Drosophila melanogaster: one gene and its partners. The protein of the gene in region 4 purifies or fractionates together with the protein of the main gene of each other region. This does not show direct contact. Each region holds a gene or a part of one and is shown on either strand. Other genes may lie near its edges.

Evidence for each region.
Region 1: the proteins of CG4872 (region 4) and c12.1 purify together in Drosophila melanogaster (affinity purification with mass spectrometry, with the first as the bait; one large-scale study listed by BioGRID). This does not show direct contact.
Region 2: the proteins of CG4872 (region 4) and CG5194 purify together in Drosophila melanogaster (affinity purification with mass spectrometry, with the first as the bait; one large-scale study listed by BioGRID). This does not show direct contact.
Region 3: the proteins of CG4872 (region 4) and Plod purify together in Drosophila melanogaster (affinity purification with mass spectrometry, with the first as the bait; one large-scale study listed by BioGRID). This does not show direct contact.

The regions. Positions count from the first base shown.
Region 1 is NC_004354.4:9,317,372-9,320,847, reverse strand, and holds c12.1 (c12.1), read left to right. Parts: upstream 1-1,624; 5' UTR 1,625-1,725; coding exon 1,726-1,856; intron 1,857-1,919; coding exon 1,920-2,568; 3' UTR 2,569-2,933; downstream 2,934-3,476. Other genes in the region: c12.2, read right to left, coding at 1-261, 336-763, 981-1,031, 1,164-1,356. UniProt on the Drosophila melanogaster protein: Involved in pre-mRNA splicing.
Region 2 is NT_037436.4:9,008,114-9,011,638, reverse strand, and holds CG5194 (uncharacterized protein), read left to right. Parts: upstream 1-1,800; 5' UTR 1,801-1,877; coding exon 1,878-2,057; intron 2,058-2,109; coding exon 2,110-2,607; intron 2,608-2,657; coding exon 2,658-2,888; 3' UTR 2,889-3,015; downstream 3,016-3,525.
Region 3 is NT_037436.4:11,203,014-11,207,614, reverse strand, and holds the start of Plod (procollagen lysyl hydroxylase), read left to right. Parts: upstream 1-1,598; 5' UTR 1,599-1,659; exon of another isoform or gene 1,660-1,745; 5' UTR 1,746-1,802; coding exon 1,803-1,881; intron 1,882-2,624; coding exon 2,625-2,710; intron 2,711-3,942; coding exon 3,943-4,082; intron 4,083-4,140; coding exon 4,141-4,601. Other genes in the region: Ube3a (ubiquitin protein ligase E3A), read left to right, coding at 1-417, 480-818. UniProt on the Drosophila melanogaster protein: Forms hydroxylysine residues in collagen type IV. Required for the secretion of collagen type IV (vkg) from haemocytes, fat body and follicle cells.
Region 4 is NC_004354.4:16,879,526-16,883,339, forward strand, and holds CG4872 (uncharacterized protein), read left to right. Parts: upstream 1-1,821; 5' UTR 1,822-1,929; coding exon 1,930-2,725; intron 2,726-2,795; coding exon 2,796-2,993; exon of another isoform or gene 2,994-3,084; coding exon 3,085-3,158; 3' UTR 3,159-3,265; downstream 3,266-3,814. Other genes in the region: Nprl2 (nitrogen permease regulator-like 2), read right to left, coding at 3,327-3,814.

The DNA of each region.
Region 1 (3,476 bases), 7.6 Mb from region 4:
ATCCGCCTGCTGCAGGGTCAAGGCGAAGGTGAGCAACTGCTTCAGCTGCTCGCCGGGCACAGAAGGCGCCTCCTGCTGCAGTTCCTCGTACAGCTCGCCGTACGAATATGTGGTCACGTTGCGGGACTGGAAGCGGGAGCGCAGCGGTGGATCCAGTGGCGTGCCCTTGTACTTGTGGGTGGGCAGACCCAAGGCTACCACCCGGAATTGCTCCGATACGCGTAGCAGACCCCATTCGTCCAGCTGCTCCCGCGAGTGTTTCTAAAACAAATGAGAATGAGGATTAGCAAGCTTCAGAGGACTAGGAACGTGCACACAGGAAACAGCTAACATACCTCTAGAAGTTTATCGTAACGCTCCGGCGACATCAGGAACTTGCCGCTCTCCAGGTGCATCTCGCGATTCTCCAGCAGATTGTTTAGTATGGGCAGGACATTGCGTTCCGCGTGCTCCACTCCATCGAGGACAAGAACTCGGCCATTGAGCGCCGCTCGTACGGCTCCCTGATCGTGGAAGATGGCCGCCCTGTCGTTGATTTCACGTCGCTGCTTCAGATCGCTCTCGGTGGTGTCTCTGCTGAGGGCCACGTACTCCACCTCGCGCTGCGTCAGCTCCAGGAACTGCATGGCCAGCTGGCGGCGCAGCGGACCCGGTTGCCCCAGTAGAAACATGTCCTGACGCAGTGCATCCTTCTGCAGCATCCAGCGCAGGTGGTGCAGTGCTGATTGCGACAGCTGAAGGGTGCCATCCGATGCGTATTTCACTATCGGATTGGATGGATACAAGAACGAAAGGTTCGTGTTAAAACATAAATCATTTGGTCCTCCAAATACAGAGTTTATTAAGTCTCGAGTTCGGATAGCTTGTGCCTCATATAATTTGTCGATTTGGCCAATTATGAAATATAGCATGTAGCTTGTTTTCACATAGGAATTTTCTTGAGATTATAGTGGTCTTTTCTCGATGACCATGAGTTTTACATTCATTCCTTCGCTTTAGATCCGTGGTCTCTTTAATCCTTGATGTGTCTGCTACTCAAAGATGATATAATGACATGATATAATGATAATGATGAAATAATTCTGCGGCACCAAGATCTTTATGTTGACCTTTGCACTGTCCAGAGATCTTGGCTTCCCACTTCCCGGCATCCCCCTGCTCACCGTATTGCTGCGGCACCAGTTGCGGATCCTTGGGCTTGCGCAGCCGCACGCTCACATCGCCGATGGTCAGGCTGTCCTCCTCCGGCTGATCCTTGCCAGCAGTCGTGCTCGCCCAGCTTCGTCGTGGAATTCTTGCATTTCGGAGGCTGTGATGCAACAGGTGGCCGCTGCAGGCGCGCAAATTGGCCAGCATGGCCGTCGGTGGGGGATGGATAGCAGGGGGTTGGCTAAACTAAACTTAAAATCGCTTCAAGTTGCCGAAAAGTTTTGTTTTTCAGCGTTTTTTTGTTTGTCGGATAAAACGGCGGTGCTCCGCGCGTGTTTACCGTAACAATGCTGCCCATTGGTGCGCACAGCTGATGTTCCAGTGATGCCCAGCAATAGCCGCCCTTATCACGGTTAAAGTCCGCACTAAGCGTGTATCGAAAGGCCTATCGGTCAGTGTGACCGTGGTACGGCTCGATTATTGGTACTGTTGATACATCAAACAAAGCACGCAGTTCGGAAATTCATTTCACTTTTCATCAATTTAACAATTAAACGCATAACTAGCTAGTTGAAAATGACCACAGCAGCGCGTCCGACCTTCGATCCAGCCCGCGGAGGATCCGGTCGCGGCGAAAAGGATCTGAGTGCACTGAGCAAGCAGTACTCCAGTCGCGATTTGCCAGGCCACACGAAACTGAAATACAGGTAAGGATTAATAGTAGCCCACATAACAATTTCCTTGTCTAACGAGAACTTGTGTTTGCGCAGGGAGACTGGCCAGGGCACCAGCGATGAGAACCGCAACCGTGACTTCCGCAAGGAGCTGGAGGAGCGCGAACGTGAGGCGCGCTCCGGAACGGGAGCCACTTCGTCGTCGTCGGGCAAGGCACTGCCCTCCATTGTACGCAAGGCGATTGAGGCGAACAACGCCGGCGGTGGCAGCAGTGCCGCAAAGCGTTCCAAGCCGGACGCAGGGCAGCAGCAAGCGCAGCAGGCGGCTCAGCAGCAGGCCGCCAATATGGACGCCGATGAGCCGCTGGACAACGATAGCTCCGATTCGGACAGCGATTCCGATGACGATGATGCCGCCCTGCTGGCCGAGCTGCAGAAGATCAAGCAGGAACGTCTGCAGGAGACGGCGCGTCGCGAGTCGGAAAAGAAGCAGGAGGACGAACGCATACGCATGGAGAACATCCTGTCCGGCAATCCACTGATGAACTATGAGCCCGGCACCGCCGCCTCGGCAGCGGGACGTGCCTCTGGACTGGGCGGTGATCTAAAGATAAAGCGCCGCTGGGACGATGATGTGGTCTTTAAGAATTGCGCCAGATCTGCGCCCGATAAGAAGACGCACTTCGTCAATGACGCCCTGCGCTCCGATTTCCACAAGAAGTTCATGGACAAGTACATTAAGTAGGCAGCATCTGGGACTCGCTCTCAAGTTTCAGCCGCGCTCTTTTTTTGTAATAGTTTAAGTAAAACAATTGTCAACCCTCTTTGTCCTTTCACCCCTCCCCCCACAAGCTGTTCATTAAATTTCGTATTTTGTAAGATAACTCTGATATCCAATAATCATAAACAATCTTTCTAAGCTAAATACCGATTGGTTTCGTACGTAGCAAACTGACCATTTTGTAAGGCATTTGCTTTTTAAGTTTTTCAGTTTTCTTTTGAACAGTGAATGATAAATTTCTTTAAACGAGAAACATATTTTTTAGTATGTATAAGATCTTTCTTATGTAATTAATTTTTGGAATAATTAAATGGAATGCTAGCCAGAATAGTTCCATAGGCGATTGGTTTATTGCTTTGTATACTTTGTGTTTGGTTAAAAATCCAAATAAGAACCTACTCATACACTCATATTATTTAGCAATTCGTATTGAGGTCGACTTTATTTGACGAATAGGCACTTTGGGCCATCTTCCTTCTGCGGGCTGTGACCCAATGACTGGCGGCTGACCGCGAGTGGAAGTCCGAGTGCGAAGGGCAGGAACCTTAACCAAAGTGTGAAACCGCAAAAAACATCGGTAGCCGGTCGAGGGACAACAGCAGCAGCCACCAGAGGCGGCGGGCCAGGATGTCAAGGGGGGTCAGGGTCAGGGAAAAGGGTAAGCGCTGGAAAGAGGGGCGAGAGGGGTAGCTGCTACGTGAGCGCACGAAGAAGTGCCCAAGAAGCGCAGGAAGCCCAATCATCATGGCGATCAGGGCAAGGGCAATTGTCGCTGCTGATGAGGCACGAAGCAAAATCAATTTGCCCCAAGGAGCCGGGCCAAGCAAGCGCAGAATAACTTGGTCAATTACGCCGAGAGCTACACTGCTCGA
Region 2 (3,525 bases), on a different chromosome or scaffold from region 4:
CAGCCATCGGCTTGCAGCAGATGTCGCAGGTCCCCCGGATAATTAATGCACTATGGCTGTTGCTTTTTACGCTGCCACATTTGTTGCCCGGACGCTGCAAGTTGCCTCTTTTTGTTGGCCCATGAAATTAGATACACTTTGTCGAGCAGCATTTTTGTTGTGTAAACACGAATTTGGGGAACTCGAAAAAGAAAAGGGGGAAATTGTTTCCTAAACGAAAGTTAATTAGTTATTAGGGGGAACTGGCACTGTCGGTGCTAATGAGTTGGAAAAGCATTTTACACGGAGCACGCGTGGCTGCCACTTCAAATTCAAGTCTCAATTCGAGAAAGAATAGGGATTCATTCTAATGGCTACAAGGAGTAGAATATCTAAACCCATTGGTTAATAAATTACGGTTTCCTAAGTTTAAAAAGAGATCTTCACCCTCATGCCATTGTATACAGCAAATAATGCTGAGACTTTAATTTTAAAAACTCATCTGAAAAACTTTAATATTGCGTTTCCTTAAACTCTTTTTTTAATGCCTATAAGATCCAACTGAAACCCTCAAGATTTTCTCTATTGGGATTAATTTAAAGCACTTAGGAATCTAGAGTATATAGCCCAAATCCCGGAAAGCCAGCGTCTGAGCCGATCTCTGAAACTACAAGTCTAGTCTGCGCCCGGCGTTAGGCAAACAAGATGGCAACAATACGCTGGTACTTGAGATTTCATTGTTGGCCAATGCAAATATATTGGTCGCGAGGAGAATGCAACAAAGCGTGGCAAAGAAAGGTCGCCGTGTCGCCGGGGCCAAGCCATAAAACGGATGCACCGGCACCGACCCAGGTTGTCTGGGTTCCGAAATCGACCTGTACCATCCAACAGCCAACCCTACTAAGCTGGGGTTTTAAACTAGAGCAGAACAAACCCACCACCAAGATGAGGCTCAACAGCAGGAAGATTGGCCAACGGACAACAAAGGCCGTGAAAGCAGTTTATGCAAATGGGCTCACATGTGGGCTGGAAAATGCATACTTTGCATATGAGGAAGGGCGACCCTTTTGGGCTGGCACAATTAACAAAGCGTGTAATTTCTCAAACCTATCGCGTGAACAATGGCACAAACAATTAGAGGATAATGAAAATCACCCACATAAGCAGGTCCACTACAGTTCTCACCGGATGGGTTTGGTGCATATGTATATGATCATATGGGCAAATCTGTGGATCAGTTCGAAAATACACGAAGGGGAACAATCATAACCGGAGCACAATGGCCGTCGTCAAGTACGCACATCCTTTATAAAGGTCCGTTCACATTGTCCTGGCATTGTTTACAACTCTATTGAGTGCAAAATGCAGCGGCATTGTTAACGGCTAGATATTTGCATACTTGTCTTGTCTTCCAAGACAAACCACAAAATCAAATTCAAATAATTACGCGCCATTTAACGAGGGAGTTGCGAAGCTCGACGAAGTACTTTCCATATGCCCGCTTTTCCATTAGGGTATGTTCTATGTACTGTATTTTTAATAAGAAATGTAGTACATTTTACAGTCTAACCAGCAAAATTTCTAAATTGTTTAATAAGATTAAGGGCGAGTGTGGAATATAAAAATAATATCCTTTTTTATAATTCTCATTCAATGTATTGTTTTTCTAGAAAAAATGTTCATTAATATTTATTTATTATTATAAACATTTAATTTTTATCAGGACTGTGAACAGAACAAAAATAAAAGCGAAAATTATATCGTGTAGATAAGCCCTTTGGGGAGTGACAGGTGAATAGCTAGCTCGGCAGCCCTGGTAGTGGTTGTCATTTTGACTTTTGCGCCATTCGGATAAAACAGATTTGCAAGTGAAACATTTAACGATAATAAGCATAAGAATGAGCTCTCTTGTTGATACCAGTCACTCGGATATCGATGACAATGACTCCTTCCACTCGTTCGACCAAAGCGAAGATATCATGGACAACCTTAGCCTCTCGCTCTCGGAGAGCGACTGCGACAGCGCCGCGGACTTTGATTCCGGCTCGGCGGATGAGATTTCCATGGAAAAAAAAATGGCAAGTAGAATAGATTTTTATGTGGCCCATAGTGTAAGATAATTTCCCGTAGGTTGGTGCACCCGCCCAGCTGGGCCAGGGCGCAGGAAATACTTTGAAGCCCACGCCTTCCGACGTCTTCGTAAAGCCAAAGTCGCCCGTTTTGGAGGTCCATTCCAGCGACTCATCCACCTGCGATGGCGTCTCCGCTGGCAAGCCCACACAGGTTGCGGGCTGTTTCAAGTCTCCCAAGAAGTTTACCGTTTCGCCGATCAGTGAGCAGAAGCAGAGACCAGTGCCCTTGTGTCCCAGAGATGTTCCGGGACTTTCCTCGAGCCAGATACCATGCATAAAACACTTTGACCTTGACCACTCAGTAACAGTCCGAAAAGAGCACCTGATCTCCAATCCCGAAACGGAGGCCTTACAAAAACACGCCTTCACCGAAATTTGGATCGATTCGCAGCAGAAACCTTGCCAGGCCAAGGTTTCTCGCTTGCAGCAGTTTTCTATGGCCCTGGAGGCCTATTTTGACCAGGATTCTGACAAGAAGGATCCGGAGCCAGCAAAAGTATGTTTAAAGTTTAAATTAAATTATTTTCTTTAAACGATATCTTTCAGACCATCACGCCTGCTCCGAAAAGTGACAAACCCGTGGAGAAGGTGGTGTATGTGTCTCCCTTTCCGGACATTCCCATACCACCATCAGCTCGAAAAGAAACTCGCATGTTGAGCGGAGTTAAGCCACCCAATATAGTGCCAGCTGGCTTTGATTTGACCCGATTGATTGAGTACAATAATCCCAATCACTGGCACCGTCGTCCCCACATGCGCACTGGCGATAGCATATAAACTTGATTAGCACAACATCTTGATCAACATTGTTATTTTCGTAATCACCACACTCAACTGACCGATTGGACGTTCTTTTTGTAAAACTGATATCTTTCTGCAATAAAGGATTCCGAACTACCAAAGCAATTAGAGCGCCAAACATATGCGACTGTCAAACTCCGGCAAAGACATAATATCGCCAGCGTTGAATGGGAACGTCGTCGCCGGCTCCAAATGATTTCATTGTGCTGCCGATAAAATTGTCGCCAGCGAAATATGTTGCCCGTGACTTTGATTTTGGCCGCCGCAACATTAATTTCCAAGGAAATTACACATGCCCGCTGAAGGGGATGGCTTGGCTTATCTGCGCTGGCAGATCGCCGAGTGAGCCCGGGTCGGAGCTCATTTGCCGCTGACATGCGAACGTTTGCTTTGCTCCGGCCCCAAACATGGACTCTCTCTTCTCGGCTCCAGCCAGCGGATGCCCCCAAATGAGAATTCAATAAATTTCAGGTAAAGGTAAGGGCAACAACAACAGCAGCAGGCAACAACACAATGGGCCAAACGTTGTCGTTAGTCTTTTGGCGACGTTTAACATGAATATGCAGTGTGGCTAATGTGGAGCCCATAAACACTTCCAGCGGCAACATGAATG
Region 3 (4,601 bases), on a different chromosome or scaffold from region 4:
AACGTCACCCTGGCCGTAAACTTCCCCATGGTGGTCTATCGCAAGTTGATAGGCTATTGCGGCACGTTCGCAGACCTCAGCGACTGGAGTCCGGCGCTGTACAAGAGTCTGAAGTCCATGCTGGACTATCAGGGCCAGGATATGGAGGAGGTATTCGAACAGACCTTCAAGATTAGCTATAGCGATGTTTTCGGTGATGTGGTACAACACGAACTGGTGCCGAACGGCCAGGATGTACTGGTGGGGCAGCACAACAAGGAACTGTTTGTCAACCTGTACAGTGATTTCCTGCTTAACACGAATATCGAACAGCAGTTCAATGCTTTCCGCAAGGGCTTCGAAATGGTTACGGACGAATCGCCACTGAAGCTGCTCTTCCGTCCAGAGGAGATTGAAATGCTGGTCTGCGGCAGTCGTGTGAGTAGCTAAATTCAAATTACGAAATTCATTCGGTTGCTGAACTCTGAAACCTTCGGCAGGAATTCGACTTTGTGGAACTGGAAAACTCCACTGTGTACGAGGGCGGCTACACGGAGAAGAGCCAGTACATCCAGGACTTCTGGAGCATAGTGCATGCGATGCCCAGCGAGGACAAGCACAAGCTGCTCGAATTCACGACGGGATCGGCGCGTGTTCCGGTTGGCGGCCTGAAATGCCTGCGTCTGCTAATCACGCGTCACGGTCCGGATAGCGATCGGTTGCCTACCTCGCACACCTGCTTCAACGTTCTCCTCCTGCCCGAGTACAGCAGCCGCGAGAAGCTGGAGGAGCGCCTGATGAAGGCCATCAACTACTCGAAGGGCTTCGGCATGCTGTAGACTATGGTCCAAACTGCAAGTGCAAGTCTGTCATCTGGAACTGATACCACCACCTCTCTGGGAAGAAGATTTCGAAGACTTTGATCGGTTTGAGTTCGTTTTGGGTTCTGCCATTTATTTTTGATACGACCTGTTCAATGAGACAATATATACATACCCAATATATGTGCTCAATTTATATGGTGCGACGGCGAAGCGAGCAGACCGAACGGACACGCGATTTTGTTTCCCTTCTTTAGCCCAGTTAATTGTACATAAACACACACATAAACACGCCACATACTACATTATGTGAACTTACCCTAGGAACAACACCCACATTTAAAAACAGTACGCGCTGAATATTTTCCTAAATAAATTTAAAGTAGTTCGGCGAAGAAACAGATGTATTTTCCATTTAGATTGGTTTTCGCAAGTATGGAATATTTTTTAATATTAGATATTTTTAATTTAAACTAAGATTACTAACAAATTAAAATTGTGGAAAAAGATTCATTTAAATTATATTTACATATTTAATTTAGTATAGAAACATCAAATACAAAACATTTTGTAAGCAATATTTCACACTAGCTGACATTTAAATTTCGGTGTGAAGTACTTTTTATTTTTTAACTTAAAAAATAACTTGTTAACTTTATTTTTTATTTAGTCTAGACACATTTAAAAAAAAAAGAGGTGTGAAAGCCTTATTTCACAACAGCTGACTTGGGACTAGTGGATTTTTTAGGCCCTTTTTTTCAGGCGATATTTTCTAACGGCTTAGCCGCAGCCACACATTTGTTATTCGCGTTTCTGAGTTTCTTGCGGGTGGGACTCCCGATATTTTGTGGAGCGGAAGGTGTTTTGATTTCCTTAGCATTTAGCACAAAAAAATGCAACTAGTATAAAGTACTGTTCACTATAACAATTTTTAACCACCGATAGCGAGTGCTTCACTGTGTGTGCGAGTAAGAGAGAGAGAGAGCAACTAGCTCCAGCATCATGAGAATACAACAAAGCGCCTTGTTGTTGTTGCTGCTGGCCGTGACGTCGCAAGGAGATGCCGAGTCCAATTGGAATGGTTTGTTCTTAATTTCTAACTAGAATGAGTTCATCAGCAGCCATAGAAAATTATATTGCATTCATGTTTTCATATTTTTCGATCTTAAGTGCATTCCACTGCCGTACTTATTACACAAATGCACAGAGATAAAAAGGGATGTGATGCGGTTGGTTTTTTCTTATCATTCTTGATAAGAAACTAGAACATCCTTTTCTCGTTCAAAACATAAAAAGTCCGAAATGTAGTTTCCCCTTACTTTTTTCTGTGTATGTGCAGTACATATCTCAGAGAATTTGTTTATGATCCATATACCACCCGACCACATCTCTCCTTGCCTTTTAATTTGCTTTTGTTTTCGTTTCGCTTTGATGCTGCGGTCGTTTACTCTGGAATTGCTCGGAAAACGGAGCAGATGCAGATTCAAGTGTTCAGATGCATCTGCATCTGAGATGAAAGATACAAAATGGTTCTCAAACAGCAAATTCGTTTACACATTCAGAAATTAAACTGCTTTAAACAAGCCGAACTTGTTGTCTAACATGTATTCGTTATAATTTAATGACTTCAGACAATACAATATCATTTTGTTGTATTCTAATTAGAACCCAAAACTAGAATACAGTAGAGCTTACGCAAGTTCAACGAGCAATATAAGAAACTATTAAATTTATGTTAAATTACATTAATTAAAAATAATCCAAAAGTAATGACTTACTTTCTATTAATCTTTACTATTGATTCATATATATGTTAATTTACAGACAAAATCAAAGTGTTCACTGTGGCCACTGAACCCACCGATGGCTATACTAGATATATTCGATCTGCACGAGTCTACGATATTGAGGTGAGGATTCGTATTAATTAGAGCATTTTAAAGTCGAGACAAGAAATTGTTTCACACTGTCTATCTAATATCTATGAGCTGCTATAGTTAGGTATTATGGTTAGCGGAAAAAGAATTATAAAGCGGTTGGAACTTTGAAACTTGACAGTTCATCAAGAAAGACATTCTACCATCTGGGATAAAAATTAGAGAACATTAAATACAGTTATGCATATACTTCTGCCTGAACAAAATTGGCCAACTTTTATGTTTAATAGAACATCTGCGAACAACTCTTCATATGCAAATGAGTTTTGATTGTTTTTATTGATGAATTTCTAATTTGACGACACTCTCAGACAATAGAATTTTCATAAAAACTGGTATATAAGCTAGAACATAGCATTTATGACAGATTAGAACTGGACGATGTGAGTATGTATTGTATTGTCTTAAATGAATCAAGACTTGCCCGGCGGCTTGGCACACTTAGGCAACATTGTATTATTAAAATGTCTGGTTAGCATATAATATAGTAGCTATATATATCTGTGCCTATTCGCCGCTACCCGAGCATCCGGCGTTGGCGTCCGATTTTCTGATGTGGAACACCGAGATTGGCTGCTGGACATTGTGGGGGCAACGACAACATGTAGTCAACATATAGTGCACACATGTTGAAATCACGTACGCCAAGGAGATTCGGTGCAGTCGCCGGGGGTAATTAGCACAATACATTGGGATTGGGTTCCCGATTCATTGATAGCTTAGAACTTTCTACACCAAGTCGATGGGAGATTTCGCTTATCGGTGACACTTTTTGTATTGTCGGCCGGCTTAGAAATTTTGTTGTTCAAAAATATATATGCACGACAATAAAATGTGCTGATAAGCTCGCTTAGCCGGCTTTTTTTCATGGATTGAACCTGATCTCTCCCCCTTTGCTTTGAATTTCTATATATGTACATTTTTTTTTTGTATTTAAAGAACTGTGCGACCCAAGATATTTAATACCGCAGCGTTGCTAAATGAATGAAATTTGTGATTTGGTTTCCTTTAATGGAAAAGATATGATTTCTTTTAAATTTTGTGTCATATTTTTGGTTGCTTTGTATATGTTTTATATAATATGAGCTTGTAGATTAAACAAATATATAGATTTAGGTAGCTTGTTAGTCCAGTTTGTTGTCAGTGATAAAGATATACGCATCAGATCACTGGTTAGCATTTAAAATAATATTTAATCTTTAAAGGTAACCACCCTTGGCTTGGGAGAGGAATGGAAAGGAGGAGATATGCAAAAGCCTGGCGGCGGATTTAAGCTCAACCTTCTGCGCGAAGCTATTGCTCCGTATAAAAATGAACCCGAAACAATCATACTCTTCACAGACAGGTTTGAAATTCAATGAAAAATCCAAAGGAGTTGTTAATAATTAAGGTGTACTTTTTAGCTACGATGTGATTATCACCACCACGCTGGATGAGATCTTTGAGAAATTCAAGGAGTCTGGTGCCAAGATACTCTTCTCCGCCGAGAAATACTGCTGGCCCGACAAAAGTCTGGCCAATGACTATCCCGAAGTGGAGGGCAAGGCCTCCAGATTCCTCAACTCGGGCGCGTTCATTGGTTATGCACCACAAGTTTTCGCTCTGCTGGTGGATCCAATTGAAGACACTGCCGACGATCAGCTATATTTTACAAAGATCTTCCTTGACGAGACCAAACGCGCCAAGCTGGGCTTAAAGCTGGACGTACAATCGCGCCTATTCCAAAACCTACATGGTGCCAAGAACGATGTGAAGCTTAAAGTGGATCTCGAGAGCAATCAGGGCGTTCTACAGAACGTGGATTTCATGACAACGCCTTCCATCATCCATGGCAATGGACTTAGCAAAGTGGATCTGAATGCAT
Region 4 (3,814 bases):
TAACTATTTTTACGTAGTTGGCCAATAAATTCGTCATTGATTTTGGCCCGCAAATTTATGCGCAACGAGGCGAAATCCTTTTTGGCCATTAAGTTTTGGCGCTTGCCCAATCGTTTAGCAATTTATTCAAAGCGTCAGGGCGACAATTCACTTTTCGGATATGGATTCTTGTGATTGGATTTGGAATTGGAATCCAGCTCAGAATCGGGGCGTTTTTTTTTTTTGTTTTTAGCTGCCGGTGTGGCTTTTGCGCAATGCCAAAATTTATGGCCAACCACTTACCCGGCAGCAAGGTCAGAACAATCAGAAGTGCTGCTGCTGGTGGTTCTGCAAGTTCTGTTGGTTCTATTAGTTCTGGTGGTGCCACCGCCGTGTCTCCAGGAGTGGGGCATGCAACAGGTCACCGCGATAAACCAGGAGCCGCTCCAATGAGTCAGCAGCAGCAGCTCGACTTTGATTTGTGGCACTTGGGGGCGAATATAAATCAGCCTGCAACAACAACAACAAAAGGCTGCAGACCCACCCTACACACAGGCCCATGCACTCGAAAAAAAAGTAGAGCTCATCCTGTTCATATCGTGAAAGGCCGAAAAACAAGCTGGAAACAAGATTCCATATGCTGAGTGGTAAGTTTGTAATGTTTAATTTTCAATGTTAATAAAATCAAAAATATTCCTAGACATTGGGTGACTTTAATAAAATCAAAAATATTTCTAGACATTGGGTGACTTAAGGTGGTTTAAAAGTATCATAATTCAACACAATGCTATTCTTCTTATATAAAATCATGAAATACTCTCCCAATTTCTCACTGTGCACTGTAAATCCTAGCCGTTTGCATGAATGACATAATCAGTAGCCATTTAGAAGAATTCTACATTAGGAAGGGCGGTACTTTTCGCCCAGTGCATGGAAACCCATGAAATTGCCGCGCAAAGGTCAAGTCAAGTGAAATTGGTTGGGAAAAAGGCGAGAAAGCATGCGACGGAGGCGCACAGTGAAGAAATTATGTCAAAATTTGAATTAGCAGCTGGGAAAATAAAATGGCGCGACCAGAAAGACAATGGCGGCGCATAAATTAATTTCCCTATCAGCTGCAGCCTCGGAAAAGTGCATTCGCTTTTCACTTTCGTGTCGCCTGCTGCGGCTCCGAATTGGATTGGTCTGGGTGGGATTGGATTGGAGTGGAGTGGAGTGGACGGGTTGTGTGGGCTGTGGTTCAGTTTCCAGCTGTTTGCGAGAATCGTTTCGGGGCGATAAAGCCGTTGACAGAAGCGGTTTCCCTTTTTGAGCGCTGCGGTTTCGCCCTTGGCGTGCGGTGAAAATGCATTTTCCCAGCGATGCCGAAGAATGGGGAAAACTGCATTAGAAATGAGGAAAAACAGTCGCCCGTGAAAATTGGTTTTCGGTTGGTGGTTTTTCCCACTTCAGATAATGGTCTTTCCTGATTTAAACCGAACGTCATTGTTTTTTCTTCAATACGTTGAATATTATCAAATAATGATCACCTTGATCTTTCAATTTAAAATTTCAACGCTTTGCATCATCAAAGTTATCGACTGTTGATTTCGATAGGTGTTTAAATGATAGTAACGGTATTTTTTAGTTAATTTTTAAGTTTAAGTCAACAGTGCTGCCAAGATTTCAAACTAAATAAGCTTTTGTAAGACAAAAATGTACAATGAGTCCAATTTTCAAAATTGATAGAGTACAGTCACAGTATTTAAGCTTAATATATTTCTAATATATATTATCAGAAATTAAAACATTGCTTAATATAGTTATTTCCACAACAATATTCCTAAAACCTGGCATCCCTGGTCAGTGCATTCTTTGATCGTTAGTAAGATACTAAGTTGCATTCCAATTATAATTAGAATATTTTAATTTGCAAGAATTACTTTGTTTTAAAACCATTTCATTGCCAATATGAGCAGCTCTACGCCAGCTTACTACAATGCGGATGCTGTGCGTCAGGTTCTCACCTGGCCGCTGGTCAATAAGGCAGTGGAATCTGCACTTGTAGCTATAGTTAAGCAGAATCCGGAAACGCCCTCCACATCCTTTGCCTTTCAACCGAAGAGGACTTTTATTCCATGCGGCAAGGAACCTGGCAAGGTTCTGCTCACCATGCCCGCCTATGTGGGCAACTACAGGCTGGAATCGTCAAGGGATCCTGGGGAAGTGGAGCACACCCACTCAACACTGGCCTGCAAGTTGGTGACCTCGTTCAGTGGGAATCCCCGACGGGATCCTCCGCTGCCCAGCATCCATGCCCATGTGCTGCTGTTCGACAATCAAACCGGTCAACTGTCGGCCATAATGGAGGGCACGGACTTGACCACCTGGCGCACTGTATCCGCTTCACTGGTGGCCACCAAGTATCTGTACTTCAGGCGCTTTGGGGCGCAGGCGGAGCAGGAAAGGAATATCAACGTGGCCATCGTGGGCTGTGGAGTTCAAGGACAACTCCATGCTGCCGCTTTCTGCGCGAACTTCCGGGTGAGGCAGCTTAATCTTTACAATCGCACGCAGGCAAAGGCACTGGGTTTAGCGGACCAACTGCGGCAGAAATTGAACACCGAGAGCGGAACCCAGATTACTGTATGTCCAAGTCCTCACGAAGCTTGCCAGGATGCCGATATCATCTGCATCGCCACGTACTCCAAGGAGCCGCTTATCCAGTTGGCAGATCTGAAATCCAAACGGGCTGTTCATATTAACGGTAGGTCTGCTGTTATAATGGAATGCTGGATGGATGATGATGACCTACCCTTTATAACTTTCGATTTCAGCTGTGGGAGCCGGCGAAGTTCACTTTTCGGAGGTGGCTCCAAAGATTTACCAGCAGGCCAAGGTCTACGTGGATTGCTATGCCAATGCCGAGGCTGAATTGGTGGGATTACCTGCGCCGATCACCGCTGAAGTGGGTCAGATCATTCTGGATGGAAACTATCCCAAGGAGCTAGAAATCAGCATCTTTCAATCCATGGGTGCGTTTTTATTAAGTTTGTGTAACTATATGACTATCTCTGTCTGTTTCAAAGTTGTATCATTAAAAATTTCATACATTTCCTATTTAAGGCATGGCCTCGGAGGACGCCTGTGTGGCCCAGGCGGTTCAGGATTGCATTATCTCTAGCGCAAAGGATTCCTGATTGCTGTCCAGCTGGCAAAGCGATTCCGGAACCAGCCCAAGCCAAACCAGTGAATTCTTAAACTTTAATGTGTATATGCGCGTATATAAAAAAGCATTTGGAAACATAACAATCGGTTCGCTTACAAACTACAACAAACCCAACTGGCCGGAGAAGTCCTTCCGGTCGTCACTTCCAGATCACAGTCACATTCGTGTCCTTCTCGATATCCCGCTCGATGGTGCAGGGCGAGAGGCCCGTCTTGCAGCAGATCTCGTCAAAGCTGATCAGCCCGGTGTACATCTTCTGCCGCCCGGAAGGCACTGAGCCCGTAAACACCGGGTACTTGTGGATGCAGCGAATGAATCGGTGCTGCAGCCCGAAGATCACCATGCGACGCTCATCGATGTTGTGGTGCTGGGGGCACAATCTCTGGCAGATCGCTCGCAGAGTAACGCCGTGAGTCATCGAGGCGTAGAACTGAAAGATGCGCTGAACACTGGGCAGCGTCTTGTCCGGACGCAAGGCCACGTATTTCCGGCATGCGCCGCTCAGTGATGCGCTCTGGATGAGATGCTTTAGGTTCTGCGTCATGTACACGTTGCTGTACTTCAGGATTGGCAGCAGCTGAACGACCCCGTAGTAGACCAGATTCTGTATGCACGACTTGACCAGGT